Linked DNA regions of Mus musculus. The protein of the gene in region 1 binds, or shares a complex with, the protein of each later gene. Links are inferred from orthologs where the notes say so. Each region holds a gene or a part of one and is shown in the gene's direction. Other genes may lie near its edges.

Region 1 (4,241 bases):
GGTCTCAAGTTCCATTCTTACCGTGTGTCCTGGGTGGTCACTACTGCCTGCAATGCACTCTCCAGAACGCCAGATACTCTCCTGTAGCCTTGGCAGGCACTGCATGCACCTGGTGCTCAGATATACGTGAAAAACACCAGTGCAAACAACAGATGTTTAAAAAGCAAGCACACAAAAACAGTGGTGTTAGTGTTGGTAACACATATCCTGAAAATTGGAAGGAAAAAAAAGTGGATAGCTTCTAGGGACAACCTTGGAGGTTGGTGAGCTAGCTTCTGGCCTCTACATATGCACCATACAAACAACCACCCATACACCTGAACACACCACACACACACACACACACACACACACACACACACACACACCACACAGACGAGCTATCTTCTGGCCTCTACATATGCACCATACAAACAACCACCCATACACCTGAACACACCACACACACACACACACACACACACACGACTTAAGTTCTTGTTTTAGTTTTAGTTTGTTTGTTTAAGGGGGATTGGCCTGGAACTCACTTAATAGCCCAGGCTGGCTTTAAATTTGCAGCATTCCTCCTGCCTCAGTCTCTCATGAGCCACAATACTCATCATAAAATTTTTAAAATTTGTTTCCGACTTGGGAAAAAAATATATATATATAAAGGAGAGAGGCTTTCTTCCCTGACTTCCTGCCAAAGGGGCTTCTTCCTTCCTTTTGTAGGATTTATTTTTATTATTTGTGTATGCCACCTGTGCGCGGGGCAGGGGTTGAGGGTGGGAAGTGTCCTCTGGGACGCCAGAAGAGGGCAGAGTTGGAGCTGGAGTTACAGAATGCTGGGAACCGAACTCCAGTTCTCTGGAAGTGAGGCAAGCGCTCTTGTTGCACCATCTCTCCAGCCCCGTCTTCCTCATTTATCTTTACTCCAACCTGTTTGTTCAAAACCAGCTGCTAGAATGAACTTTGCAGTGACTCTGAGAAAGAACTTGGACTTCTCAGTCCTTGAGAAATCTGAGGAAGCTCTGAAAACTGAAGAGAAACCCACTTCCCAATTTCTCTAGTGTCAGAATATGGAGGTCCTTTTTTCCCCTCCAGCTACAACATAGAGATGACTACTATGGGAGTCCCTTTAGGTGCCCGTTTAGTGTCGGCTGGCTCCATTCTGGCTGTGATCCTGAACAGGAAAGGTGTTTTGTTTTGAGGAAGCAAAGAGCATCAATAGATTTGCTTATTGCGTGAAGAAGATATGGAGAGGAAACAGTTGGCGTTCTAACTTCCTCAACTGCTGATAGAGATAACCCGCCAGGCCTCCCACTCTGGGGCGTAAGGCGTCGCAGGAGCAAGACCTATGCAATTCTCGCAAAAAAGTCCCGAATGACCGCGTCCATCACGACTACGCCCCGCCCCCCAGAGGGCAGCTATAGCACCAATCATCAGCACGCAGGGCGGGCTCAGGGGAGGAACCTGCTGTTGCCCCAGCAACAGTCGGGGCACCCCAGGAGAGCGAGGCTGCGGATCTATCTACCTCAGATCTCCCTCCGCCTGGAAGGGCCCGGGAGGGGAGCGAGACTAGTCTCGACGGCGCCCGCAAAGAAGCCCGTGAACTACCATCCCCGAGGCAGCTTTCACTTCTAACGGTCAAGTACGCGGAGGTAGGAATGACGCATGCGCTACGCCTACGGGCAAGGGTAAAGCGGCCCTACACCCGAGACGAGACGCATGCGCCTTTTGAAGCTTGGCTGATCTGCCGCGAAGGGGCGGGGCCTTGCACATGTGGGCGGGGCCACAACCCTGGGGCGGGGCTTTCTAAGCGTCTGAGCCTTGGTTTATTTATTGGTGCAGGTTCCCACACCTCTGGGAGACTTCCCCATTTTTCTTGGGCTTTTCTGGGGACGTGGCTTGTATCTGTGATGAAGGCCACATTGTCAGTGGGTTGGTGGAACTAGCTTAGAATCACAGTGCTGTTCTTTATGTGATAGGCTTCAGTTTTCCCAGCTGTCAGATGGAAATAATACAGTTACCTCACAGGGTTGTGATTGAATTTTTCCTTTCCTAGAGCCATGGCTGAAGTGCACGTGATCGGGCAGATCATAGGGGCCACCGGTTTCTCGGAAAGCAGCCTCTTTTGCAAGTGGGGCATCCACACAGGTATCCTCCTCACACCTTGTTCATCTCCCAAACAATACCCAGCTCCCTCCCCTAGCCTAAGTCTCCATGTTCCTTCCTCGATTCTCCAATGAACTCATACTGTTTGCTTCTCTTTATCCTTGTCTTTCATGTTATCTCACCATCGGAAAACATAGCCCCTAAGCATATGGGGCTGTGACATAGAAAACACGCGCGCACACACACACACACACACACACACACACACACACACTTCCTGTCCTCAGGCCAGTAGACAAACTAGGTGTGCTTATGCATATCTGTAATTCCAGCACCTAGGAAGCCTTCTATTACAAGTTTGGGGCCCTGTCTCAAAGAAAAGAGCACAAAATATATACAAGATTATTGTAAGTTCTAGGGAAAAAAAGAAAGTGATGTGCTGGGGGCTGATTTGGGATGTGGAGGTCTGAGATCAGAGAAAGCCTTTCTGTGCAAGTGGCACTTGAATTGGGGGGCAGGAGGAAAACAGCCGGAAATGGGCACCCAGTAGCAGACGTTTCAGGGCAAAAGGAACAGCCGCTGCCAAGGCCTTGAGGCAAGGGAACAGGATGGGACCAGTGAGGCTTGAGGGTGGGGAGCGGCAGTGGCAGATGAGTGACAGGATCCAGGTCACACATGGGCCTTCGTGGCAACAGTGAGGAGTCTGAAAGCTTCGTGTGTGTGTGTGTGTGTGTGTGTGTGTGTGTGTGTGTGTGTGTGTGTGTTGGGAGGGGGCAGTTAGAATCCCAGAGAGCAGATAAGGTGAAGGCATTGCCCAGAGCGTTTAGCAGAGCATCTGGGGTGTAGTGCTCAGTATGTGGGCACTGCTTCTCCTTGCTCCTCACTGGGGTTGTGATGTGCTCGCAGATGGTGCCCAGTCTCTTCTTGGTCTTTGACGGAGGCTTCTGAATGTGGGGTGCATAGAGGAAGGAAAATGCTGGGGATCTCGTCACCCGGGGAGCGTAGGTCATCCTTAGCTACGACAGAGGTTTGAGGCTAGCCTTGGCTATATGAGACCTTGTCTTAAGAAAGGAGGCTCTCTGTTGGTGCTGAGAGTGCAGCTCATCAGCAGAGCATAGAGCGTGTGCCTCTGGATCACATCGCCAGCTGCAGTCATGAGGATTAACAAGTGAATAATATTTTAAAAATTCATAGTTCATCCTTGCTATGTGAGTCCTCTCATAACTTGTGAGATTGTGTTTTTTGTCGCTTGTTTTATAGACAGGGAAACAGAGAGAAGCTACTCTGCCAGGGTTGCATCAACTTGGGCTGGGGAGTGTAGACTGTTGCTAGAGAGCTCTTGCATATGTACTGCTCTAGGTTCCATCCCTAACACTGCAAAATACAGAACACATATATGAATCGTGCCAGGATTTCTACACGGGATTCTCTGTGTAGCCCTGGCAGCCCTGGGAACTCCTTCTGTAGACCAGGCTGGCTTTGAAGTCACAGAGATCAGCCTGCCTCTGCCTCCCCAGGGCTAAGACCAACTGTGTGCACCACCACTGCCTGGCTTTATTCTCTCTCACGTGCTCTTCAACCCCTCCAATTTTTCTTTAGAGACTGAGACCCACATTGTAGCCCATGCTGACCTGACACTCATCAGGCAGCCCAAGAAAGCCCCAAACAAACTCCCAAGTGCTGAGATTTCAGATGTACACTGCCAGTGCCAAGATCTGGATCCAGACACTTGGCTCTAGAGTCTACACTGTGTAACTCCCACTCCCAGATACCAGAGGGAACAAACTCATTGCCACGGCAGGTCCCCTTCTTGAAGGTTGCTATCCCCCAAACCCTGATGTCCTGGTTCTCATTACAGGGGCCGCATGGAAGCTCCTCTCAGGTGTACGAGAAGGCCAGACACAGGTAGACACACCCCAGATAGGGGACATGGCTTACTGGTCCCACCCCATTGACCTGCACTTCGCTACTAAAGGTCTCCAAGGTGGGTACAGGATGACAGGATGGGGAGGGGCAGTCAAACTAAGAGGAGCTGGGCTTGGAACACCATGGCTGTCTGCTCCCTGTACTTTGTGGGTCCCTTTTCTGGTACAGCCTCCCCTAGAGCAGTGCATTTGAGGCCTCACCCGAGCTATTCAGAACCCTAG
Region 2 (4,033 bases), on another chromosome or scaffold:
ATCATCTCTGTTGACAATGGGTAAACTTTTCACTGTAGCATGAGAACTATATGTGTATACAATATCAAAATGTTTAGGCAGAGTGATTTAAGACCCATAATTTACAAAAACAAGCAACTGGTCCACCCTCCTTTCCTCTGAGACTCAGAGCAGGGGTGTGTATGAAGGTAGTTCAGATGGGGTGCAGGGACCAGGGCTTTCTCCATCACCTCACCTTGCCGTGGTCCTTTAGTGGGAACTTAGAATTCCATTTAAGACCTGCCAGAACATTGTGACACCCACTTGAAACCCCTGTACTGGACGGGAAGCAGAGGCAGGAGAATTTGAGGCCTGCCTAGCCTACATAGGAGACCTGTCTAGCCAAACTAAACCAGACCTGAATAAGGCAGTGGAAGGCACAAGCAGAAGTGAAGGAGGAAGGAGAGCAGAGGTGGAGGTGGGGAGTGATGGAGGGAGGCTTCTACTTAAATTATTCTCCCGGAGTGAGGACCTGCTTTGAGAAGCAACAATTACTGCCTTTATCCACACTCCTACTAGGTAGGGAAATAGCACTTTCATTACAGGTTACTTACTCTCTCCCGTTATTTGTTGACTGACTGCCATACTCTAAGGGCTGACAGCTGGAGTCTTTTCAGAAATCTTACTCTTTCACCCCCTGCCTGCAACAACACGCTCTTGCTTCAAATTGCGGCCAGGGTTCGTTCATAGCGCAAGCTTGTTGGAAACATTTCTCAATTTCCAACTGGCCAGACGCTGTCTCCTTTCAACACCCTTGCACTCTTTGGGTCGCAGGAGAATCTCATTATAGCACCGCTGTTTTCCCTTGTACTCCTAGAAAGGACATTCTATCTTCAACGGTTTTGGTGTTTACATAGGCTCCAGGTAAGCCTTTTGCACGACAGTGGCATGGGGTGTTTTTAAAAAAAACACATGCAGTAGAAAAGAGAATGGTGGGCGCAGGGCCGATCCTCCAACTACTCGGCCACACCGGGCCACTAACGACCTACGCCATGACGCCGGGGATGGAGAGAGTTCAGCTGGAGAAGTGTTCTGGTCTCTCTGCCGTCGTTTAAAACCCCATCCTCCCCCTAGACCACTGTAGGTGGTTGACGGCTGGCGCTGTTCTGTGCATGGGCGCGGCCGGTGGGGTAACCATAGAGTAGCACCGGCAGGCAGAGCGGCCAGAAGACCGGGCGGCTCGGTGCCGCGCTTCCGGCAGCGCCGCATTGCTCCGGGCGCTGCAGTGTACGCAGTTTCCATGGGGACTGAACATGGCGCCGCGAGGTGAGACTCTGGAGGTGTGTGTCTCTGCCCCTTATCCCACGGGTACCTGCCAGCCCCCTCCACCTCTCTGTCTCCAGAGCTCGACCTAATCCTCCATTTCTAAAAGTCGGGGTCTTACTCTTCACTTGTCTAAATCGGGCTTGGGTTGTTCTGATCACCCCGAGTGCCTGCATGGGTACTCGAATACCGTACTCTTAAAAATCCCCGGCTGGCCCTATTCTGGGATGGCTCAGTTATGAATCCTCCCGCCTTGGACAGAATTAGTTTCTGTGCCTCAATTTCCCCCTCAGAAGTGACAGGGTTGAATATTTGAGGTGCCTCTCAGCTGTGATTATAGCTGAATTGTCAGAGAAGTAGATGTCAAAGTGATTCCTGAGAAAGGAGATTGAAGGCAGTTCCTGCCACACCAACACTCACGTCATTAGCAATCAGAAGTTTCTCCCTCATTCACAATAATCTTGTGATTTCTCCGGATTACAAAGAACCTTCACACAGAACAGAGTAGAGCTCTAGCTGCCCTGCCCATTCTTTGTTTTGCTTTCTTTCAGATAAAAGATTGTCCTCAACCCCCCTGGAAGTCCTGTTCTTTCTGAATGGGTGGTACTATGCTACCTATTTCCTGCTGGAGCTCCTTATTTTCCTGTACAAAGGTAAGCCTGGGCCTATCTGCCTCTGCCCCAGCAACCCTTTTCCACTTTAGCATACTCCAAGAACCTTCTATCTTCTGGTCCTAGCGGCATCTCCATTGCAAGGCAGAAGTCTCTCCAACTAATGGCTTTAGAATGATCAAATAGGATGTCTTTCAGCAAGACTTGAGTTTGAGAAATGTGGGTTTCTCCATCCCAACTCTTTCCCCATCTCTCTTTACTAAAATATTCAGATCTGTGTACCATTATAATTCAGTCATTTGGCAGAGTCAGGACTTGGAAACTTAAAGCCTGTAGCTGTAACAATCTATACCTTGCTGATTTGTGAGATGTTAAGACTGGTTGGTATCCTTGTCCCGGGTTTGTGGCCGTCCATCCTTGTGGGGCCGTGGGGCTGACCGTTAGCTAGGTGGTGTGTGCATACTCTGGCTTTCCCTCCTGTAGGGCTCCTGTTGCCGTACCCAACAGCCAACTTAGTCCTGGATGTGGTGATGCTGCTGCTCTATCTTGGCATTGAAGTCATACGATTGTTTTTCGGTGAGTGTTGTTCAGAAAATATTTCCATTGCTTATGAGACATGCTGGAGCCTGTAACTTGATTAACAAGACAAAGAACCTAGGCTCACTATCAGAGTGGATCTGGTAATGTATATACCATTGCTTCTTCCCTGAGGCTTCAAGCTGCCGCTTCATATTCTAGGTCAAGGTTTACCTGTGTGTTTGTGAGTGAGGCTAGAAGCGGGCAGTAGCACTGATCTTAGACCAGTCCTCCCAGCTGCCTGAGTGCCACAAGAGTGCCTGCGTCTTCTCCTTGCTCTGAGAGAGGAAAGCAGTACATTCCTAAAGAGCTCAAGATCCCCTCCGCTTCTCTAAACAAGGATTTCTCTAGAAGTTCCTAGACACCAGAGAACAGAGCAAAACTGCTGATTACTTAGAATATATCATCCTAGTGCGAAAATACAAACCTAAGGGAGAGAATGGTAAGGGATACTAACAGTCAATTCACAAAAGTCATTATAGAGGACCAAAAACCTTGCTAAGGTGAGCATGGTGGCACATGCCTTTAATCCCAGTACCCTCTGGCAGAGACAAGGGGATGGCTATGCATTCAATTAGACATAATGAATTCCAGTGCAGACAGGGATGCGTAGTTAAATAGATCTTAAATAGATCCTAGCTAAAAAAATAAAACAAAACACCAAAACAATAACAACACTTGCCAATGTGCTCAAACCTAGTAAAGAAAAGCAAGAAAAATAAGGTAAAAAAATTTTTTTTTATATATTGGCATTAGTCAGAAAGATTTATACAGTACAGTATCCATATTTGGCTTGTGATATACATATTTTTTAATTAAAAGTCATTATTTTATGCCGATGGATATTTTGCCTGTATGTATGCCTGTATACTACATGTATGTCTGGTGCCCACAGAGGTCAGAAGAAGGTCTTAGGCTAGAGATGGCTCAGAGGTCTAAAAGGACTTTTAAACCTCCTGCTTTTGCAAGAGGACCCCAGTTTAGTTCCGAGCATCCACATCAGGTAACTCACAACTGCCTGAAACTCCAGCTTCGGGGATCCAATGTTGTCTTCTGGCCTTTGTAGGCACACACAAACACCCAAGTGAGAATTAAAAGTTAAAAAGAAGAAGAAAAGGGCATCAGATCTTCTGGAACTACAGTTACAGACTGTTAAGCTGCCATGTGGGTGAACCTGGGCCCTCAGGAAGGTCAGCAAGTGCTCTTAACCACCCATGATCCATCTCTGTAGCCCTAAAGAACAGATATTTTGTTTTTGTTTTTTTGTTTTTTCGAGACAGGGTTTCTCTGTGTTGCCCTGGCTGTCCTGGAACTCACTCTGTACACCAGGATGGCCTCGAACTCAGAAATCCGCCTGCCTCTGCCTCCCAAGTGCTGGGATTAAAGACGTGTGACACCACGCCCGTCTAAGAACAGATATTTTTAATGCACTTAAATTATTGTACATATTAATTGAAGTTTTAATGTATATACACATTTGCATACACACATGCATATTATAGCTATACATATTTTACATATACACATATAAATTACTATGTGTATACACATGGATATATGTATAC
Region 3 (3,500 bases), on another chromosome or scaffold:
CTGCAGCCCTGCAGATTTCAGCATCTTCTCTGCCTGCTCAGTCCCAGTTGTCACGTAAGCATACGACATTGTCACGTAAGCATACGACAGGGAGGTTTGATGGCCGTTTGGCCAGGATGATAAAATGTGGGGACAGGAATCATGTTCCACACTCCTCAGAAGCCCTGTGGGCAAAACCCTGTGTTGTCAGAAGCAGTCACTTGTCCCGTGCAGCTGCTCAACAGTGTGGGTGATGGAGGGACACGTGTGTGTTGCCTCTAGAGTGTTATGAAGTTTGGAAATTAATATTTGAGCTGTGCACAGATAATGTGTCACCTCTTTGTACCTGTGAAATAGTCTCATGGCAGTGTGTGTGTGTGTATGTATGTATATATATAGATAGATAGATAGTGTATGTGTGCATGTATGCATGGGTGTGCTTGTCTTTGCATGCATGCATGTTGGCCTGTGGAAAGCATGGGTCTGTTCATTTATTGCTTTCCACCTTCATTTTTGAGATGGGGTCTCTCACTGAATGTAGAAATCATCCCCCTAGCCTACCCCCGATCCCCGGTTGACAGATGGCTAGCATCCTCTTGTCTCCTCCCCTGCCCGGTGCCCTGTTGCAGATACACATCAGAGCCTGGGCTTGGTTTGCTTTTGAAATCCATGCTGGATATCATGCTTCTTTAAAATCACCCTTCAGAAGCAAGTACGTTCCCCACTAGGCTGCGTCCCCAGCCCCTGTTCCTGCTAGGCCGCCTCCCCTGCCCCTGTCCCCACTAGGCTGCCTCCCCAGCCCCCGAATCAGCTCTCTCTGGGGACTTGAATTAGTCAGGGTGCTTTGTGTGCGTCTCTTTGGATGTAAGCGAAGCAAGGCTTCTCAGTTCCCAGTGCATGGGAAATGGCAGAGGTGGAATTCTCACGCAAGTACAAGTCGAAGATGTGATCAGCTCTGAGTGATCTCGGCTTGTTTGTCAGAGGTTTTTGTAACACAAAACAAAACAGCCCTTTAAGAAAGGTTTAAGCTCTCAGGATGGGACCAGCAGATGGAGCTGACTGAAATGCAGGACAGCCACCTAGCATGCTTAGTCCTTTTGGAAACACAATGGACTCTTCCCAGGAGAAACCATTTTATCAGCCTAATGGGGCAACTGAATTTCCTCCAGCATTGTGAAATAGCCTGGAGAGCAGGTGCTAGCGGGGTCCCTTCCTGGCCTCCAAGACCAGAGCGTGTTTAGCCTTCCCTGAAAATCAGTCCGCTTGTCTTGAAACTGCAAGCGAGCCCTGACAGCCCTGAGAGAATGGCGGCTTTTGAATTGAGTGCCATTTATTAAATTGAATATTTTTTTAAGACAGGGTTTCACTGTATAGCCCTGGTTGTCCTAGAACTTATATATAGACCAGGTTGGCCTCAAACTCAGAGATCCACTTAGCTCTGCCTCCCAAGTGCTGGGATTAAAGGTGTGCACCATTGCACCACCACGGCCTGGACACCCATACAACTTTTAAGAGCTTCCTGTTGGCTGAGGGAGATGAGTGAGTGAGCCAGGGCCTGAGGAACACCAGGGAATGAGGTCGCCTCAGCTAGGCCAGGGAAGGCCTTCCTGAAAAGATGGTCTGAGCTGTCCTGTATGAAGGTTACCCACAAGTTATGCAGCAGAAGAGAGGAGGGCAAGGTGGCTCAGTGGGTAAAGGCGCTTCTTGCTAGCCTGAGTTTAATCTTGAGGGCCTACATAAGAGGAGAACTGACCCTTGTAAATTGTCCTCTGACTTCCACACGTGTGGGATGGAAAAAAGTCACACACACACACACACACACACACACACACACACAATAAAAATACTCAAAGCAAACTTCCTAGTATGTTTTTATATTTATTTTTTTATGTGTATTTGTATGTGTGTGTGTGTGTGTGTGTGTGCACTCATGCACATCTGTGTGTATCTGTGTGTGTCATGGGCAGCACCATACATGCAGTGCCTACAGAAGAGAGCATCAAAGCCCCTGGGACTGGAGTTACAGGTATGAGCTGCTTGCTGTGTGTTCTGGGAACCGAGCCTAGGTTCTCTGTGACAGCAGTAAATGCTTAGCCACCGAGCCGTCTTTCCAGCTCCCAGAATGTCATGATCTCAATGGAAAGTGTTCTGCACTTTACTCCACACCCAGCAGGCTTCCCTTAAACAGTGTTGTTGTTGTTGTATTTTCCGAGTTAGGGTCTCACTGTATGGCACTGACTAATGTGGAACTTGCTGTATAGATCTGAACTCCTAGACTCACTTGTCCGGACCACCCTGGTGCTGGGATTAAAGCCGTGCACTGCCACAGCAGACAGAATCAAAGCCTCAGGACCACCCTCGTACCCGCAAGTAAAGCCACATGGAGTCTCTGCTGACCTGACACCTTCATCAGTGTCCCTTAGTCGTATTTCTGTAGTGAAGGCATCTGAGAAATGTAGGGTGATCTGGCTTAGATTGTGGACTGAAAACTTGCTGTTGCTTTCTTTGACTTTCAGGGGTGACAGGCAGTTTTGTAGTCAGAAGGCAGCCTTCTACTCAATGAATTTGACAGCAGACCCACCTCACCGTGACTTTAAACTCATTGATCAGATCAATCCTTCCGTCTTCTGCATCCATATTTCAAACTGTAAGTATTTGGATTAGATTTTAAAAGTTACTGTGTGGAAGAGCACCTCCTCACTCAGCTCCATTTAAAGCACCCAGCTTCTGTGTTGACTGTGTGAATAATTCAAACCCCAGGGCTGATTTACAGGCAACTTTATAGATCCTGGGCACACACACTGTCTTCAAGAATTTGCTCTGTAGCTGCCTTTATCTTACACTTCAAAGATGCCTTGTAGTCAGAGAGATCCAAGTTGTGTGTGTGTTTTGTGTGCATGTTTGTGCATGCACGTTTATTTCCTAGTAGAGTAATGGCTAAAAATGAGTCTCATTTTTAAATGTTACCTGTGGTTTTCCATTTCCTTTTTCTTTTTTATTTTTACTTAGAAGATTTGCATGAATACAGGATCTTTATTTTTAACCCGAGCAGTCAGCTCAGGCGAGTGTGTTGGTCCCCCATGCTCCTGAGTGCATGCTGTTCTCGGGATAACAAGCCCACTCATAGCTCTGTCAGCTAAACCTCATCATCTCATTCCCATGTCTTTCCATGTTTGGCATTTGTCCCCTCATGACTGAAGACCTGGGGGGAATGTGCTTATCCAAAGTGACAAGTGACAGTGACTGTCTAGCCATAACTGCAGCCAAGTGGACATGGAGCCTGCCTCCTCTTCTTCCTGTCACTCACAGCACAGGAAGTGGGTGCCAAGAGATGAGTGGTATTTTCTGACAGCCACCCACGGAGAGTGTCCCCTAGAAGGAGAAGAAGCAGACTTCCATCCATGTGCTAGACAGACAGAGCAGCCTGACCCTTGGCTTCTGCTGTGTCGTCTCCCTGTAGGCCTTCAGAGCAAGTACTGCCACACAGTTAGATGCAGCCCAGTCGAATGATCCTGCTCCTC
Region 4 (4,024 bases), on another chromosome or scaffold:
AACCGTCAAATACTAATTGTCAATATTGATATTGCCAAACTGCCGGAATTAAACTTATACCATCTTTCCTTGGATGTGCCAGTGAACCATGACTTCTGAATGTCACTCTGGTGGTTTTTCAGGGGCTGGCTCGGAGTCTTAACTGGTTAATAATCCAGAACCAACATGCCCCAGGGAAAACACCCTTTCCTTCCTTTCTGCTGGCTTCCTTGTTTTTTATTTCTCTGGCTCAGTGCATACCAACAAAACTACTAATATACCTGCCCCACAGGTTTTTTTTCTTCCAGGAATGTTTTCTTTCTTTTTTTCTTTTTCTTTCTTTCTCTTCTTCTTCTTCTTCTTCTTCTTCTTCTTCTTCTTCTTCTTCTTCTTCTTCTTCTTCTTCTTCTTCTTCTTCTTCTTCTTCTCCTCCTCCTCCTCCTCCTCCTCCTCCTCCTCCTCCTCCTCCTCCTCCTCCTCCTCCTCCTCCTCCTCCTTCTTCTTTCTCTTTTCTTTTCCTGTCTTTTCTTTTCTTTTTCCTGAGACAGGGTTTCTCTGTATAGCCCTGGCTGTCCTGGAACTCACTCTGTAGACCAGGCTGGCCTCGAACTCAGCAATCTGCCTGCCTCTGCCTCTCAAGTGCTGGGATTAAAGGCGTGCGCTACCACTGCCCGGCTGTTTTTTAATTTTTGTTTGCATGTCCTTTTAGTCATATCCACCAACTGTTTAGGCCTGAGTTTTCTCTCCTTAAATTTTTTTAAATTTATTTTATGCATAATGGTGAACATGTTTGTGCAACACATGTGTACTGTAAGGCGGCAAGGTGTCTGACCCTTTGGAACTGGAGTAGAGACAGGTGTGAGTGGCCATCTGGGCCTGCTAGTTCCTCTGAAAGTCCAGTCACTAACCTCTTAACCACTAAGCCATTTCTCCACGCCCCCTAGGCCGAAGTTTTCAAATGTTCAGTGGAAGGCAGTGTTTGATCAGAAAGTAAGGACTCAGGTCACCTGGTTCTGGCCACCATCACCATTTTTGCACCTAAACAAAGTAGCTGATGGCGGTTTTCTCTTTTGTGCAGTGCACCAACTTTCACCTTGGGTGGAGGTGAGCTTTACTCACACAGGACAGCTGAGGGTCCCGCTGCCAGGCTAGGGACTGGCTCCCGCAGACGTGGAGAGCTGCGCGCGCAGCGCCTCCCTTGCCTAAGAAGCCAGCGTCTCCGTTGCCAGGGGAACGAGGCACCACGCTTTCCGGCGCGGTCGCAGCGCGAAGCAGCTGTCATGGCGGAAGCGGTCTGGAGCACTGACACCGGCGAGGCCGTGTATCGCTCCCGGGACCCCGTGCGCAACCTGCGCCTCCGGTAGTCACTCGACCCCAGTTTCAGGGCCCCCTAACTTTATGCTCCGAGGCCCCCTAACTTTATTCCACCCTAAGCTTTTAGATGCTCAGAGGCCCCTACTTCCGCTTACAATCCCAACTACTTCCTCTGCCATCTCTGCGCGCGTCTTGTTATCAGGATCTTTTTCCACTGAAAGCTTCCAAGTACACCTTTCAGATTCACCCTGCCCAAGTCCCTTCAAGTTCTCGCCACTTTCAAACCCCTCGGGTCCCTGTGCTGATTTATCCAGCAGACGCCCCTACCCACCTCTTCTTTGCAGCAGCCTTGACTTCTCTGCCTCTGTGATTTCTTTCCCCGATTCATGCTCTGTATATCTCCTTGCTGTGTGTCTCTGACACGCGTATTTGGGGCTTCTCTTCTCTTGACAGAGTTCATCTGCAAAGAATCACATCAAGCAACTTCCTTCATTACCAGCCTGCTGCCCAGATGGGGAAGGACCTCATAGACTTGGCCACTTTTAGGCCTCCGCAAGCTGCTAGTGGGTGTTTGTGATGACGCTACATTCATTTGAGACTAAGGCAGGGGTGCGGGGCAGTAGAGGTACAGAGGAGGAACGGAAGGCTCAGAGAGGTTGAGTTTATTGCCCAGTGTCACCTAGCCGAGGAATATAGAAGCATTTGAATGAACCTGGGCAATCATCTTTTTAATTTTTTATTATTTATTTATTTTTTTACATTGTAATTTACTTTTGTGTGTGTGTGCACGCCCATGCCACAGTGCGAGAGTGAAGTTCAGGGGATAACTTTTGCGAACCAGTTCAGTTATCTCTTCACCAGATGAATCCTGGGGCTTGAGCCATCTTACCCGAGTTGTGACTTGGGGGATGGGGAAAGGACTTCTAAGAGAAATATGTTCCAAACTCCAAATGTATGTATAAATACACTTAAAAAACAATTTTAAAACAGGAGTTTGCACGAAAATATGATTTTTTCCTCTTGCCTTGAAAGCCAAAAGAAAGGACAGGACCGTCGTGTTTGGCCAATAATTTTTCATGCTTTTGTCATTGTTCTTTCTACTCAGAAATATTCTTAGGCAAAAAGGGTAGCCTGGCAGATCACAAATCATGCATCTTGTGTTTCTGGATGATTCGGTGGTGGTTTCAGAAAAACATCAGGGTCCTTATCTAGCAAATTCAGCCAGGATTGAGGAAGGGCTGGCCCTTCAGCCTCTAGCTAAACTCTAGTGCCTTATACGGGACTAGAGAATGTTTCTTGGAAGGCAGAGCTACCTTTTATTCAAATTAGAGTAATGATTAGGACACCTCAGGCCCTAATCTTGCTTCTAGTATTAACCAAAGTATGTCCACCACCTGCATTCTATGTTTAGAGTGAGCGCTTAGTGAGTCACTAAATTCCAGTGGGGTTTGCGGTCAATGTGAGTAGGGACTTTGAAGGCAGACCTGGTGGTATACACGTGTAATGTCAGCGTTTTTCTGCCGAGGCAGGAGGATCTGGAATGTGAGGTCAGACCGGGCTGCAGAATGAGACACTTCCAAACAACAATAGCAAAAAATTTTAAAACCCAAATGAGACAAGAATAGGAACACTGGTTGTAATCAACCAGAGAGGAAGAAATGTTGCTGGTCTGACTCACTCTGTTGTGTTTGGAGGTGGACACCGCCCTGACGAAGAAGAGGAGGAAGAGGTTGTAATTGGATGGCAGGAAAAGCTCTTTAGCCAGGTGAGCCAGCATTTCTTGTCTTCAGTCTACCTCCACCTACCTGACTCCCACCGGGCCAGTGACTCATACCGTCAAACTCATCTCCAGGAAAGGTTGTGGTGGCTTATACTTATGTTTATGTTATGTTTATGTGGCTATTGTAATATAACGGCTGCCATGTTCAGTTTAGCGTTCTAGGTAAGGCACTCCCCATCTCCGGGCTCTATAACATCTCTAGCAACAAGGTTGGATTAGAACATCAGCTTGGATCCTTTTAACTCGAATATTCTTAGATTTTTTTCCCCCTGCCCTTCATTTTTTGAACAAAGTGACAGTCGGTTTTCAAAACGTGTCAGCTAGCGCTAGAAGTGATTTGGTTCAGTAGCTGCAGGAACCGAAGTTTGAGGTAGTCCCAGCTGATCTGTTTCTTTGTGGTGACCTCAGTTTGAAGTCGACCTGTACCAAAATGAATCCGCGTGCCAGAGCCCACTGGATCATCAGTACCGCCAAGAGATCTTGAAACTGGAGAATTCTGGCGGCAGGAAAAACCGGCGAATCTTCACTTACACTGACTCGGATAGATACACCGACTTGGAAGAGGTATCATTCCTTCTGGGCCCTCATTGCTTTCTTGTTTGTCTCCCCTGGTTTTCTAGCCTCGCTGGCTCTAGGTTGTAAGTGGAAAGCCCAGTAAATGGGGCGATATAGAACATAGATGGTTCTAGAAGCTGCTGGAAGCTGCTGGCAGCCAGGCTGCAGTGGGCAGATGCAGGTGATGTCCTTCTGCCTGTCAGAGGGCCCATGGGACCTGATAGCATAGGAATTGATGACATAGATGGGCAGGGTCTAGAACAATCCATTTACAATTCAGTCAAAGTCAGGAGTTTATAGGCAAGAAGAGGAACATGATTAGGCTGTGGGGATACCTGTGTCTTAGCCTGTGTCCCTGAGCCCTTGTGGGCTTGTTTTACATTCTCTTCCATTACT
Region 5 (4,066 bases), on another chromosome or scaffold:
ATGATACTGTTGACTGACCTGGGACCTAATACATCCGACTGTGCTTTTCTTTATGTCTATTACACCTAATGGTTTGTTTTGGTTTTTGAGGATTTTGCAATGTATCCCAGGCTAACCTTAAACTGGAGATCTCCTGTCTCTGCCTTCTAAATGCTAAAATGATATGTCTTAAGAGAAAGCAGGGAAAGGCTGATATTTTTAGTTTTAAAATCACCTATATTCCAGAAACAACTGCTTTCAATACTTTTAAGTTATTTCCCTGTCTTCTGAAGCAGGTATGCTTGGCTCATCCACCCTCTTAAGAATGTCAAGGGCAATTTTCTGAGGAACATCCTTAGTGAGGTAACCCAATCACAAAAGAAGTCATTAGATATGCACTCACTGATAAGTGGATATCAGCCCAGAAACATAGAACACCCAAGATACAATTTGCAAAACACAAGAAAATCAAGAAGAGGGAAGACCAATGGGTGGATACTTCATTCCTCCTTCTAATAGGGAACAAAATACCCATGAAAGGAGTTACAGAGACAAAGTTTGGAGCTAAGACGAAAGGATGGACTTTCCAGAGAATACCCCACCCAGAGATCCATCCCATAATCAGCCACCAAACCCAGACATTATTGCATATGCCAGCAAGATTTTGCTGAAGGGACCCTGTCATAGCTGTCTCATATGAGTCTATGCCAGTGCCTGGCAAATACAGAAGTGGATGTTCACAGTCATCTATAAAATGGAACACAGGGCCCCCAATGGAGAAGCCAGAGAAAGCACCCAAGGAGCTGAAGGGGTCTGCAACCCTATAGGTGGAACAACAATATGAACTAACCAGTACCCCCAGAGCTCATGTCTCTAGCTGCATATGTAGCAGAAGATGGCCTAGTTGGCCATCATTGGGAAGAGAGGCCCCTTGGTACTGCAAACTTTATATGCCCCAGTACAGAGGAATGTCAGGGCCAAGAAGTGGGAGTGGGTGGGTAGGGGAGGAGGGCAGAGGGAGGGTATAGGGAACTTTCGGGATAGCATTTGAAATGTATATAAAGAAAATATCTAATAATAATAAAAAGAATGTCAAGGGCATTTTTTTAAAATATCTATGTTCGTTTTCCATTTCCCTCAAGAAATGGTGCACCAATTTTGCAGAGGAATTGCTATGGTGTGAGAGCTCCTTGTGGCTCAGCCCAGGTCCGAATGGCTTATTACTTGTGATCATCTTAAGACGACGCGGCTTTAAAGCAAGACGGAGGAACCCGCCATTTTCAGCAGCACTAGGCCACGTTAGGCTGCGGGCCCGTGGCCCTGGCTCGCCTCTCCAAGGGGAAGCCTCTGGAGGATTCTGTAGCGTTCGGGGAAGCCCAGGTACCAGGTCCCTAGGGGCCCCGCACTGCCCGGTTGCCAAGGGAACCGCCACGCGCCGCTGTGCCCGCCGACTAGCGGGTGTGTGAGAGGCCAGCGGGCAGGCCAGGCATGGAGCTGCCGGACCCTGTTCGCCAGCGCCTGAGCAACCTCAGCCTCACCGTGTTCGGCGACTCCAGCCGCACCGGGCCAGAGTCCAGTGATGCGGCCGGTGAGTGGCGAGGGCGCAGGCCCACGCGGGGGTGTGGCTCGCGGGCGGGAGGCCGCACAGGCCGTGCCCGGGTGAAAGATGGCTGCTCCGGCTTCAGCCAGGGCTCTGTGCCCCGGGAGAAACCACGGCCCTGCGGCGGACCCGGGAGACCACGCGCTTCCGCCGCCGCAGCTACTGCACCCGGTGGCGCGGTCGCCGAGCGGATCAGGATGCGGATCAGGAACGCCTTCTTCCCCACGCGGGTCCCCGCTGAGTCCCCAGCGTGACAGCCGCCGGCTCACACAAAACCGGGCTGTGTCCAAACCCCTCCTAGCAGAGCAAGACCGGCTGCTGCCAAACCGACAAGGCCTTCCTCTGCCTGTTCCTTCTTTCTCCCTGTATAAAAAACTCTCCTCCCGAAATCTAAAAACGAAATACCAACGAGTTAACTCCAGCTTCTGCCTCCTCAATCAGGAGGACAGCATACATGGTTGTCTCCTTTGAAATCAAGGAATTGGAAATCCTTTCGATGGCTTGGTTTGGGCTTTCTTATTTTTATTTTTATTTCTTAAATAGGGCATTGAAAAGCAAACCACTTGCCATCATTGCATGTTGTCACCTTGGTCATTCGTGTAATTTACGCTATATGGAGAAAAGCCTGTAAAATTAGGATTTCGTGTTTCCGATTCAAAGTGTGAGCCGTACGGGGCACTAAAATCGAATAATACAAAGTCTCTGGGAAAAAAAGTGTGTGTGGGGGGGGCGGGGGTGACATTTGTTCTGAAGTTCTTTAGAGCCTCAGCAGCCTAGATAGTCGTGATGGTGTGGACAGCAATAGAACTAGGTAAAGACATCAGCCCTGTAATTTCTTATGGTTCTTACGTGTCAGAAAATATTGTTTTCCCAGACATTCAAACGTGAGAAAAGCTGTTTAAGTTCACTGTCTCTGCCAAGACAGGCAATTAATTGGTCAGAAAAATTTGTCTGACCAATTATATAATACTTAAATTTTATCTCATTACAGAACTTAACTGGAACTTTTGTAAAATTTAATGAACTCACACCTTGTGCCTTGTGGTTCCTCTTCATTTGGTCTGATTTTTCAATTGTATAAATTTGATGTGTTGAAGTATGGACATGAGCCTACATAAAATCAAAACCCTGACATTCTAAACAGCCACTCTTCTCAAGCTATATCCCCATAGCCTTTAAAACAAACAACAACAAAATTTATTTGGTTACAATGCAATCAAGAAGTACCTGGGCTATCCTGAAATTTTCTAAGTAGTCCAGACTGGCTTTGATCTTGAAATATTCCTGCTTCAGTCTCTTTGCAAAAAAAAAAAAAAAAGACTACAGTTTCTGCTCTAAAGGTTCTAAAAGTATCAGCTTAGCTAGTGTGTAATTACTTTCCTGTTTTCTTCTTGGCGAATCTGACTGTAAGATCACACCCACAATGGATCAAGAATTGTACTGTTGCCCAAAGTAAAATAATAATAATGAAAAAAATCCTAGTGGATTTTCCTTAGCGCTAACAAATTTTAAAAATTCCTAGCCCAGAGGTAGTAGTGCATGCCTGTACTCCCAGCACGCAGGGGCCGAGGCCAGCCTGGTCTTCAGATCAAGTTCCAGGAGAGCCAGGCCTTTACAAAGAACCCCGACTTGGAAAAAAAAAAATCATTCCTATATTTGGGATAATTTAAGAAGTCAAAGCAAGAAAAAGCAGACCACAATAGTCAGCCTTGCTCTTAAAACTTAATTTGCTTCTAGAGACCATGAATTTTTCATTAATTTATTTATTTTTATTTTATGTGCATTGGCGTTTATGCTTGTATGACTGCATGTATGCTTGTGTTACAGACAGTTGTGAGCTGCCATGTGGGTGCAAGATTTAAGTCCAGGACCTCTGGAAAAGCAGTCAGTGCTCTTACCCGCTGAGCCATCTTCCCAGCCTCCAACCCCATGATTGTTTTAAAAGTATTAAATGTCAATTAAAAAAAAAAAAAAAACTATGCAGAGAAAAACAAAAAACAGTCTCAAGGAATTTGTAATTTCTAAATTCTTACATTTAGAACAACCAATTTAAAATAAGAATGTAGTTAAATTTATAATGTATTTTTAGGGTTCAATTTTTATAATCAAATTCTTGTTGAGGGGGTTGGTGAGATGGCTCAGCAGGTAAGAGCACTGACTGCTCTTCCAAAGATCCTGAGTTCAAATCCCAGCAAACACCTGGTGACTCACAACCACTCGTAATGAGATCTGATGCCCTCTTCAGATAGTAGTGTCAGAAGACAGCTATGGTGCACTTACATATAATAATAAATAAACCTTTTTGAAAAAAAAAATTCTTGCCGGGCGTGGTGGCGCACGCCTTTAATCCCAGCACTTGGGAGGCAGAGGCAGGCGGATTTCTGAGTTCGAGGCCAGCCTGGTCTACAAAGTGAGCTCCAGGACAGCCAGGGATACACAGAGAAACCCTGTCTCAAAAAAAAACCAAAAAAAAAAAAAAAAATTCTT
Region 6 (4,098 bases), on another chromosome or scaffold:
CACCTCAGTCTTTTATAATAAAAGGGGGCGAGGGGGGGGCAATTCTTTTGCCTGGTTTGGGATCTCAGGTTCAGTTAGACACCCCCCTACCCCCCGTTCATTTAGAAGACCTCCAGTCTGTCTTTCATGACCTTTAACTGGCTTAGGAAAGGGAACCCCATGTATTACTTTAGGGAGACAGAATCATTTCTTCTTCTTCTTCTTCTTCTTCTTCTTCTTCTTCCTCCTCCTCCTCCTCCTCCTCCTCCTCCACCTCCTTCCTCTCTCTCTCTGCCAATTCCTTGAAACAAAAATTTAAGAAGTATCTATTTTCAAAGCTTCCCTTTGATATTATTCTAGTATTATCTTTTAATTTAAAAAAATTATAGCACGCATTACCTCGCTGGGTTTTGTTCTTGTTTTGGCTGTTATCAATCTCCCCACCTAGAATATAACCTGGAGGGACTTTATCGAGGTACTCTCAGATTTGGGGCACAGTGCCTGGCATCTGGGAGACATCAAATATTTGTTGAATAGATGAAATCCCTCTGGTCCTGAGCCTTGTCTTTTGGGCTGGTTTAGAGGCACAAAGAAAAAGGAATGGAGGGACCAGAGAGTGCAAGTGGGATGGGAGGTCCATTGACATGGGACTTGATTGTGAACTGGAAAGTGCTGAGAACTTTCCGATTCTCCGATCTGCAGGGATTTCATCCGAAGCCCCAAATCGGTCACATCACCCTAAGAAGAGGTTCTTGGTCTGTAACTGAGCAATGTCCGGGGCCTAACAACTCAGAGCAAGAGTGAAATCGGTGGTGGGTCAGCGTCCCAGCCTAGGCTAAGCGCAAGCAGTTCCAGTCCCCCGCTCCATTCTTCACCCTTTCAGATCCCCTCGGTTCCCGAGGCAGTCACCTCACCCACATCCAATTTTAACCATCCCAAGGCTGCTCATTTCTGCACTCGGCAAATCTCTCATGACACGGAGACAAGTTATTTAGGAAGAAATTAGAGTCATTCTTCGGCAAAGTTTTGCTCTAGGGCGGAAGGGGGAGTCCTCTGACAACCAGGGGCTAGGGGACTTAGCCTGACCCTGGGACAAGCTCGGTGCATCAGCCTCTCCTCGTTCGTCCCCTCGACTCCTAGCGCCCAAGGCAGTGAGTGGGAAGCACAGGAGAAGGGAGGATTTGGTGGTTCTGGCTGCATCCTCTTGGGTCCATCAACGGCTCACGTACCGCGCCTATAGACGTTGGTAGAGGGAGCAGCACTATCGCGAGACTTCCGAAAGCAGCAGCGTGGCGCTTGCGGACGCAGTTACCATGGCAGCCGGGCGGCGCCCGAGCGCGCGGGAAGGACACTTAAGTAGAGAGGTCTGGCCTGCTTGCTCAGGGAGACTTGATGAGTGACCCACCCCAGACTTCCAACCTCAAAACCCACGGCCTCCACTCGAGGCCCCCGAGGCCATGGGTCGGATCTCCGGGCTCGTGCCCTCTCGGTTCCTGACGCTCTTGGCTCATCTGGTGGTTGTCATCACGTTGTTCTGGTCCCGGGTAAGACGCGGACAGGGCGCGCGTGCGCGTGCCCTCCTGGCCCTCCCATTCTCATCTTGGAGTGGACCCAGCTCAGCTCAGTCCACTCACACAGGGTCCGTTCGTTGCTCCGTTCCCCGGCCCCTTCCCAACTTGTCCCCGCAGCCCCATTCCTCTTTTGACATTTCTTTCTTTCTGCCCGGCTCGCCAGGAAAGCAACATCCAGGCTTGCCTGCCTCTCAAATTCACCCCGGAGGAATACGAAAAGCAGGACAACCAGTGAGCTCTTGGGGCGGGGTGAGAGTGCAGGGGTCTTCAACAGAATCCAGAAACCTTGGTCCAAGCCCTTTTCTCTCTGCAGGCTGGTAGCCGCGCTCTGTCTCACCCTGGGCCTCTTTGCAGTGGAGCTGGCTGGCTTCCTCTCAGGAGTCTCCATGTTCAATAGCACCCAGAGCCTCCTCTGTATCCTTTTTATTTGGCCATCGTCCTCAGGTGACTCATCCCAGTTACCACTCTTTCCACCTCTGTAGGCCTTTGGGGCACAAGTGTCTGCTCTACATGGTAAACCGAATCTCTCTCTAGGTGAGAGGTTTTAGACACTGTTGGGGAATTAATAGACTTCAAACATTCGTTAAATCCGGATGTGAGCCAGGTTCTGGCGATCCCTGGATGGGAGTAAAATCATTTTATCCCGTTTGAAGAGGTGGCAGACAAACATCTGTAAATCAGTGTGATTAAACAGTATGCTTGTAGGTGTGTGTAAAATACAAAGCACTATGGGAACTCAGAAGGGACCAAGAAAATAGAGCCCAGGTGTGGTTCTGCAAGCCTTTAATCCTAGTGCACGGGAGGCAGGGGCAGGTGAATTTTTTGGGTTTTTTTAAATCTTATTTTACTTATATATTTAGGTTATCTAAGACAGGGTTTCTCTATGTAGACCTAGGCTGTCCTGGAACTCAGTAGACCAGGCTGGCCTCGAACTCCGAAATCCACCTGCCTCTGCCTCCCAAGTGCTGGATTAAAGGCATGCACCACCACTGCCTGGCTTGTTTTGTTTTGTTTGTTTGTTTGTGTTTTTAAAAAGGTAGCTCTTTACTCTTGAATTGTGGACAAGGAAGACCAGGGCACTGGAGAAATCCCCAGTGTATCAGATCTGTAGGTATTCTTGTGTGGCCTAGGGCATATATGACATTAACCTTCCCAGAAGTGTACAGAGTGTACAGGGAGAGGTCCTATCAAAGCAAACTCAGCTCTGGTCTCTTACACATAACTGTCCATAAATTCAGAAGGCATTGGCTGCCAACTCTGGCGCTTGTCTTAAGGGAAGGGTACAAGCTGAACCCAAGTCCAGGTACCAACGGGGCCCATCACGAACCGATTACTTTCCTTGACCCCCTCTGTATTGTTAAGCCATTGCAGCCCACTGTAGCGCGTCTGTGGCCCTGTCTTTCTTCGTATTCGAGCGATGGGAATGTACCACGTACTGGTACATTTTTACCTTCTGCAGGTGCCCTAGCACCCAATATTTTGGAATGGGGGGGGGTGGTGGAAAATCGATCCCAAATCTGAAGGTTTCCCCCACCTAGACCTTTCCTGCACATGTGAAATTGGTAGAGTTTTGAAGAGTCATACCCACCCTAACCCACCCGCATATAAGGTTTGGAGGTTCAAGTGTTTGGGTTGGAAGGGGCTCTAACTCCCCCCCCTCCCCCGCGGCCCCGTACTTTTCACAGCGCCTTCCCAGCTGTCACTGAAACTGCATTATTCATCGCTGTCTTTGGGCTGAAAAAGAAACCCTTCTGATCACAATCCGGGTGTAGGGACCAAGGCTGGAAAAGTGATGAAGCTTCCTCCCACTGCTGCAAGAAAAAGGCAGAGGCTTCAGTTTTCTCTCGCCCAAGTCCCTTGCTCCTCCCAACTGCGGCTAAGCAGAGGATGGCAGTGTTGGAATAAGATCTCTCAAATCTTGGATTATAATTTTATTAGAGTTTTGTAATAAAATTTATTTTATAACAAGAGCAAGGCGTATACTATTTTTCAGAAGACCATTGGATGGGCCAAGAGGCTGGTATAAATAAAGGCTTTTATCTTGTGGTTAGGGCTAGAAGTAATGCTTCTATTTGGGTTTTTACGCTAGAAGCTAGGCGGAAGTGAGTGGGCGGGGATATGCAAATAACTATCTCACATAGCGCTTCTAATTTGCCGCGTGTGAGGGGAGCATTCTGGGATGGTTTTGTTTCTCCCTTTTTGTGCCGAATGGAGAATAAAATACTTCAAACGACTTGCAAATAGATATTATTCTTGCGTTGCAAGAACTGTAAGTCACTGGGCTCGTGCTAAAGTGACGTATTCTCACCCTTCCTTTAATAGGAAATGTCTCTACTTATTTAGCAATGGGCTCCCTCTGCCTTTTATCGTCAGGAGGTTAATCCTTACCTGTTCCTCCTTTCGGAGGGCAGTAGAAAATGATGATTGGAGCTTGCATGATCTGCTGATTAGCATTTCCATGCAATCAGGACCTGACAACATCCTGGTTGCTCCTATCTGATTCCCTGGCGATCACACTTTTCCAATGTGCTGATTGGTAGACCTTTAC
Region 7 (4,099 bases), on another chromosome or scaffold:
TTATGTCTATAGGTATTTTGCTTGATATATGTCAGTGTGCCGTGTATGTGCCTGGTACCTACCAGAGCCAGATGAGGACATTGGAGCCCCCAGTTACAAGACAGTTGTGAGCCACGTCAATGGGTGCTAGGAATCAAGCCCAGGTCTCTGAAAGAGCAACCAGTGCTCTTAGCTGTGGAGCCATCTTTCAAGCCCCATTTTAAAAGAGAATTTTTAACTCCTTCCATGAGTGTTTTGTTCCCAATTCTAAAAGAATTTGTTTTGTGAGTTTCTCTTTATATTATAGAAATAATATTTAATTTGCACCATCAGCTATATGTAAATTGATCCATGGAGGTATGAAATACTAAAATTACTTCATAAATGTGTCATTTCATTATTCTTAACCTGTGTTTTTAAAGGTAAAAAGATCTGTCTAATTTGAGAGTATCTTAGCAGCATTTGATTTTGGTGAGGACACATAGTGAAAGCCACTGCTAATGGAATGGCTACTGAAGTGTGTACACTGGTCCAGTGTAGAGGGTGGGTGAGTTACCATGGCAGCATGGCGCAGGCTGAGTTAAAGAGATGAGCCAGCCATTGGGAAGATAGTTTCAAAGACTTCTAGCCTTTAGTTTAAAACCCAACTCCACACTCACTATCTTTGTGAACTTCAAAATGTTGCTTAACCTTTCTGATCTTTTAAAGCCCCTTTCTCTGTAAAGTGTGACCTTTAGTAAGACCTTCTAAAGGTTTTATGGAATTATCACATGCAAAGAACTTAAAGCAGAGCCTGTTAGGGGTAGGTGCTGGGTTAGGGGTGTTAGGGTACACGTTAAGAGAGGGGGTTGGGTACACTGGGAGAGGGTGTTAGGGTACACTGGGAGACAGTGTTAGGGTACACTGGGAGACGGTGTTAGGGTACACTAGGAGAGGGTGTTAGGGTACACTGGGAGAGGGTGTTAGGGTACACTGGGAGAGGGTGTTAGGGTACACGTTAAGAAAGGGGGTTGGGTACACTGGGAGAGGGTGTTAGGGTACACTGGTACAGGGAGTTAGGGTACACTAGGAAAGGGTATTAGGGTACACTGGTAGAGGGAGTTAGGGTACACTAGGAAAGGGTATTAGGGTACACTGGGAGAGGGTGTTAGGGTACACTAAGAAATGGTCTTGAGTATACTAAGATAGGTTGTTGGGTTCAGTAGAAGAAGGTGTTAGGGTACACAGAGATAGTGTTAGGGTACTCTAGTAGAAGTTGTTAGGATACACTAGGAAAGGGTGTTTGGTACACATCACTACTACCACCATCACCCATGACTTTTTTAAAAGAGAAGAGTAGAAGACAAAAATTACCTAGATGTCTAGATGTAATTAGTAGTGATGCTTTTCCTTAATCAGGGTATGCAGGAGGAAGACAAGGTTTGAGAGAAAGGACAAAGATTGTGTTGCACCTGAAGATAATTTGAGACATGTAGGAAAAGGTGTCATTAAGGAAATGTAACACAGCAGCTCTTGGGAGGAAGGGTCAGTGCACATTTGGATTTTTTTGTTTATTTTCCATGGTAACAGGGTCTATAGCACTTACAAGGTATTTTTAAAAGGTGTTCAGATTGTCAAAAGAACAGAATTGCCGGGCGTGGTGGCACACACCTTTAATCCCAGCACTTGGGAGGCAGAGGCAGGCGGATTTCTGAGTTCGAGGCCAGCCTGGTCTACAAAGTGAGTTCCAGGACAGCCAGGGCTATGCAGAGAAACCCTGTCTCGAAGAACCAAAAAAAAAAAAAAAAGAACAGAATTGTGTGTTGAATGCAAAGAGGACAAAACTATAGATAACTGACACGGGAATTCTCAAATGCTGGTGCTATGACTTGGATTTTTATCTTTTGTTCTTTATCTTAGACACTATCTCTAAGATTATTTTAGCCTTTACTTCTACATGCAGAGGATGAATATTCGCTAACTTCTCTTTAAAGTCATTCTTAGCATATGCACACCATAGCAATTATCAACATTTGCTTTGATGTTAAAACTACTACTTTTGAGTTTTTGTGAGTGCTTTGACTGAATTTTAGACTGGCAATTTTAACACCTTTTACTTTAGTGTGAGCCATAACATACTTCATGTTTAATCTGCTGTCACCAGAGGGTAGCACAGACCTTTTCTGACACTGTTTGACACATCTTGCACATGTTTTTTGTAGATGAAGGCCATTCTTTCAGCAGTGTGCTGTATTATGGGAACGAGGCCACGCTCCTCATCTTTGATCTGTTGTTCTTCTGTGTTGTGGATTTGGCTTGCCAGGACTTTGTTTTAGCATCCTTCCTCACATACCTGCAACAAGAGGTAAATCTAGCAGCATATCTTGATTTCTTCTCAAGCAGAAATGTTAGAAGTGGGGGTATTTATTTTCTTAACAGAATGGTAAGAGTATCCACTTTCAGTAGGGTTTGGTGAATGTTTAGAATATAATTAACACTACCAAAGGAAAGAGGAGCCACTCAACAGACCCCAGTGCACTCTGTCCCTGGGGTCAATAAAATACACTAGGATCCAGTAGAAGGAAGAAGTGGCTTTGTCACCTAGGAAGATACTTAACTGCCACCAGTCTCCCACGTACTAAGTAAGAGTGAGCATGAATTTTCCTAAATCCCATTCAGATAGAAGATGCAAGCACTGGGGATGTGGTCCAGGGCTGTAGCCAATTGCACACAGCCTTACTGTGTGGACTATTTCAAGAAATGGCACCCAAACCCTCCTGTGCGAGGAATGCATGAGTTACTCCATGGTTTATTATGCCTGGATTTAGAATCATAGACAAATTCTGCCCTTACCAGGGAGATATTTTTGATCTTTCCATAGCTTCAGAAGTTACATTCCTTGTGTGTTTAAAAGCATATTCTTGTGAGCATGAGAAGTATATATTAATTCATAAAACATTTCCTAATATGTGTATTTTAAAATAATTGTATCTAATAATGAAAATATCTCATTCATGATATGAAGTGGTTGGGAAATTAGCTAGTTTAATTTAGATATTTTAAATTGATTTGCATATTTAATTTTCTTAATTGTTTTGCCTTTCCAGATTTTCCGATTTATCCGAAATACAGTAGGACAAAAGAATTTGGCAACCAAAACACTAGTGGATGAAAGATTTCTGATCTAATCTGTGAATACAGAACTTAAGGACTCAGTATAATATGGCCAAGACTTGATGTTGCTATATTTTTTAAAACTTGTAATACATATTATTCTCCCATTTTTTATCTACAGAAAGATTTATTTTTATAGCTTGTGAAATATGAAATATAGTAAAAACACTCTTTCCCCATTATATGTTGTATTTAATTTACTAAATAGTACATTAACACTGACCAGGAGGCAAACATACAAACAAACAAAAACAAACAAGCCCCTCCCAGCCCCACTTTCTGTGCTGTCCCGGGTCTTGACAGCAGGCTGAAACTTGCCATTGTTTCAGAACATGACCTGCCTGCTTTTCCTCACGGTGTCAAATCTATTTGATTCTAGGCTCAAAACTACAGTTCTGCTCCGTATTTTCATGTTTTATTTATATTCAAGGTTAAATAAATTTCAAAAGGTATTTTCAAATTTACTTAAAATTTTGGTTTGCGTTATTGATTACTCTAATAACTCAGGCTGTCTGTCACTGGTCCCCATTAGACACAGCAGGGTGTGGTACAAATCCAGTCCTTTATGTATCTGGTTTCTGTGTCATTTACATTTGTTAAACTGGGTGATACTTTTCACAACATAGGATTTTTTCCACACATTTTGATATTTTAAAGAGTACTCCTCCAAAGTGTTGCTTTTCAATTATAACTAAATATTAAAAATAATAGGCTGTAAATAGATTATCTTATGTTGACTACTTTATTGAAAGCAAACTTTGGCTTCATGAGTCAGTAGATTATTTTCTACTAAGGAAAAAAAATGGGTTCAAGATACGTTTAAAGTCCCTTCCGGTCTGGGCTGGTGCCCTGAGCAGACCCTGGGCTAAAACACCACAGCCAGTCCCACAGCACTCAGAGGAAGCTCTACTCCCAGGCACTCTAACACTCCCAGGATCATAGGGACCCAGGACTCAGGAACTCTGCC

Evidence for each region.
Region 2: B9d2 (region 1) and Tmem216 share a complex: the UniProt entries of both Homo sapiens proteins name them as parts of the tectonic-like complex. The link is inferred for Mus musculus from reciprocal best matches to the Homo sapiens genes B9D2 and TMEM216.
Region 3: B9d2 (region 1) and Tctn1 share a complex: the UniProt entries of both Homo sapiens proteins name them as parts of the tectonic-like complex. The link is inferred for Mus musculus from reciprocal best matches to the Homo sapiens genes B9D2 and TCTN1.
Region 4: B9d2 (region 1) and Mks1 share a complex: the UniProt entries of both Homo sapiens proteins name them as parts of the tectonic-like complex. The link is inferred for Mus musculus from reciprocal best matches to the Homo sapiens genes B9D2 and MKS1.
Region 5: B9d2 (region 1) and Tmem17 share a complex: the UniProt entries of both Homo sapiens proteins name them as parts of the tectonic-like complex. The link is inferred for Mus musculus from reciprocal best matches to the Homo sapiens genes B9D2 and TMEM17.
Region 6: B9d2 (region 1) and Tmem107 share a complex: the UniProt entries of both Homo sapiens proteins name them as parts of the tectonic-like complex. The link is inferred for Mus musculus from reciprocal best matches to the Homo sapiens genes B9D2 and TMEM107.
Region 7: B9d2 (region 1) and Tmem67 share a complex: the UniProt entries of both Homo sapiens proteins name them as parts of the tectonic-like complex. The link is inferred for Mus musculus from reciprocal best matches to the Homo sapiens genes B9D2 and TMEM67.

Annotation. Positions count from the first base shown.
Region 1 is NC_000073.6:25,679,339-25,683,579, forward strand, and holds the start of B9d2 (B9 domain-containing protein 2), read left to right. Parts: upstream 1-1,441; 5' UTR 1,442-1,640; intron 1,641-1,819; exon of another isoform or gene 1,820-2,044; 5' UTR 2,045-2,048; coding exon 2,049-2,136; intron 2,137-3,952; coding exon 3,953-4,078; intron 4,079-4,241. UniProt on the Homo sapiens protein: Component of the tectonic-like complex, a complex localized at the transition zone of primary cilia and acting as a barrier that prevents diffusion of transmembrane proteins between the cilia and plasma membranes.
Region 2 is NC_000085.6:10,552,964-10,556,996, reverse strand, and holds the start of Tmem216 (transmembrane protein 216), read left to right. Parts: upstream 1-1,233; 5' UTR 1,234-1,271; coding exon 1,272-1,284; exon of another isoform or gene 1,285-1,298; intron 1,299-1,832; coding exon 1,833-1,934; intron 1,935-2,375; coding exon 2,376-2,468; intron 2,469-4,033. UniProt on the Homo sapiens protein: Part of the tectonic-like complex which is required for tissue-specific ciliogenesis and may regulate ciliary membrane composition.
Region 3 is NC_000071.6:122,257,961-122,261,460, reverse strand, and holds part of Tctn1 (tectonic-1 precursor), read left to right. Parts: coding exon 1-54; intron 55-2,495; coding exon 2,496-2,626; intron 2,627-3,500. UniProt on the Homo sapiens protein: Component of the tectonic-like complex, a complex localized at the transition zone of primary cilia and acting as a barrier that prevents diffusion of transmembrane proteins between the cilia and plasma membranes.
Region 4 is NC_000077.6:87,851,991-87,856,014, forward strand, and holds the start of Mks1 (Meckel syndrome type 1 protein homolog), read left to right. Parts: upstream 1-1,224; 5' UTR 1,225-1,259; coding exon 1,260-1,339; intron 1,340-1,746; coding exon 1,747-1,856; intron 1,857-2,987; coding exon 2,988-3,058; intron 3,059-3,481; coding exon 3,482-3,637; intron 3,638-4,024. UniProt on the Homo sapiens protein: Component of the tectonic-like complex, a complex localized at the transition zone of primary cilia and acting as a barrier that prevents diffusion of transmembrane proteins between the cilia and plasma membranes.
Region 5 is NC_000077.6:22,511,017-22,515,082, forward strand, and holds the start of Tmem17 (transmembrane protein 17), read left to right. Parts: upstream 1-1,266; 5' UTR 1,267-1,467; coding exon 1,468-1,567; intron 1,568-4,066. UniProt on the Homo sapiens protein: Transmembrane component of the tectonic-like complex, a complex localized at the transition zone of primary cilia and acting as a barrier that prevents diffusion of transmembrane proteins between the cilia and plasma membranes.
Region 6 is NC_000077.6:69,069,511-69,073,608, forward strand, and holds Tmem107 (transmembrane protein 107), read left to right. Parts: upstream 1-1,298; 5' UTR 1,299-1,436; coding exon 1,437-1,523; intron 1,524-1,713; coding exon 1,714-1,781; intron 1,782-1,863; coding exon 1,864-1,964; intron 1,965-2,912; coding exon 2,913-3,009; coding exon of another isoform or gene 3,010-3,088; exon of another isoform or gene 3,089-3,235; coding exon 3,236-3,305; 3' UTR 3,306-3,783; downstream 3,784-4,098. UniProt on the Homo sapiens protein: Plays a role in cilia formation and embryonic patterning. Requires for normal Sonic hedgehog (Shh) signaling in the neural tube and acts in combination with GLI2 and GLI3 to pattern ventral and intermediate neuronal cell types.
Region 7 is NC_000070.6:12,038,859-12,042,957, reverse strand, and holds the end of Tmem67 (meckelin precursor), read left to right. Parts: intron 1-2,180; coding exon 2,181-2,323; intron 2,324-3,065; coding exon 3,066-3,146; 3' UTR 3,147-3,599; downstream 3,600-4,099. UniProt on the Homo sapiens protein: Required for ciliary structure and function. Part of the tectonic-like complex which is required for tissue-specific ciliogenesis and may regulate ciliary membrane composition.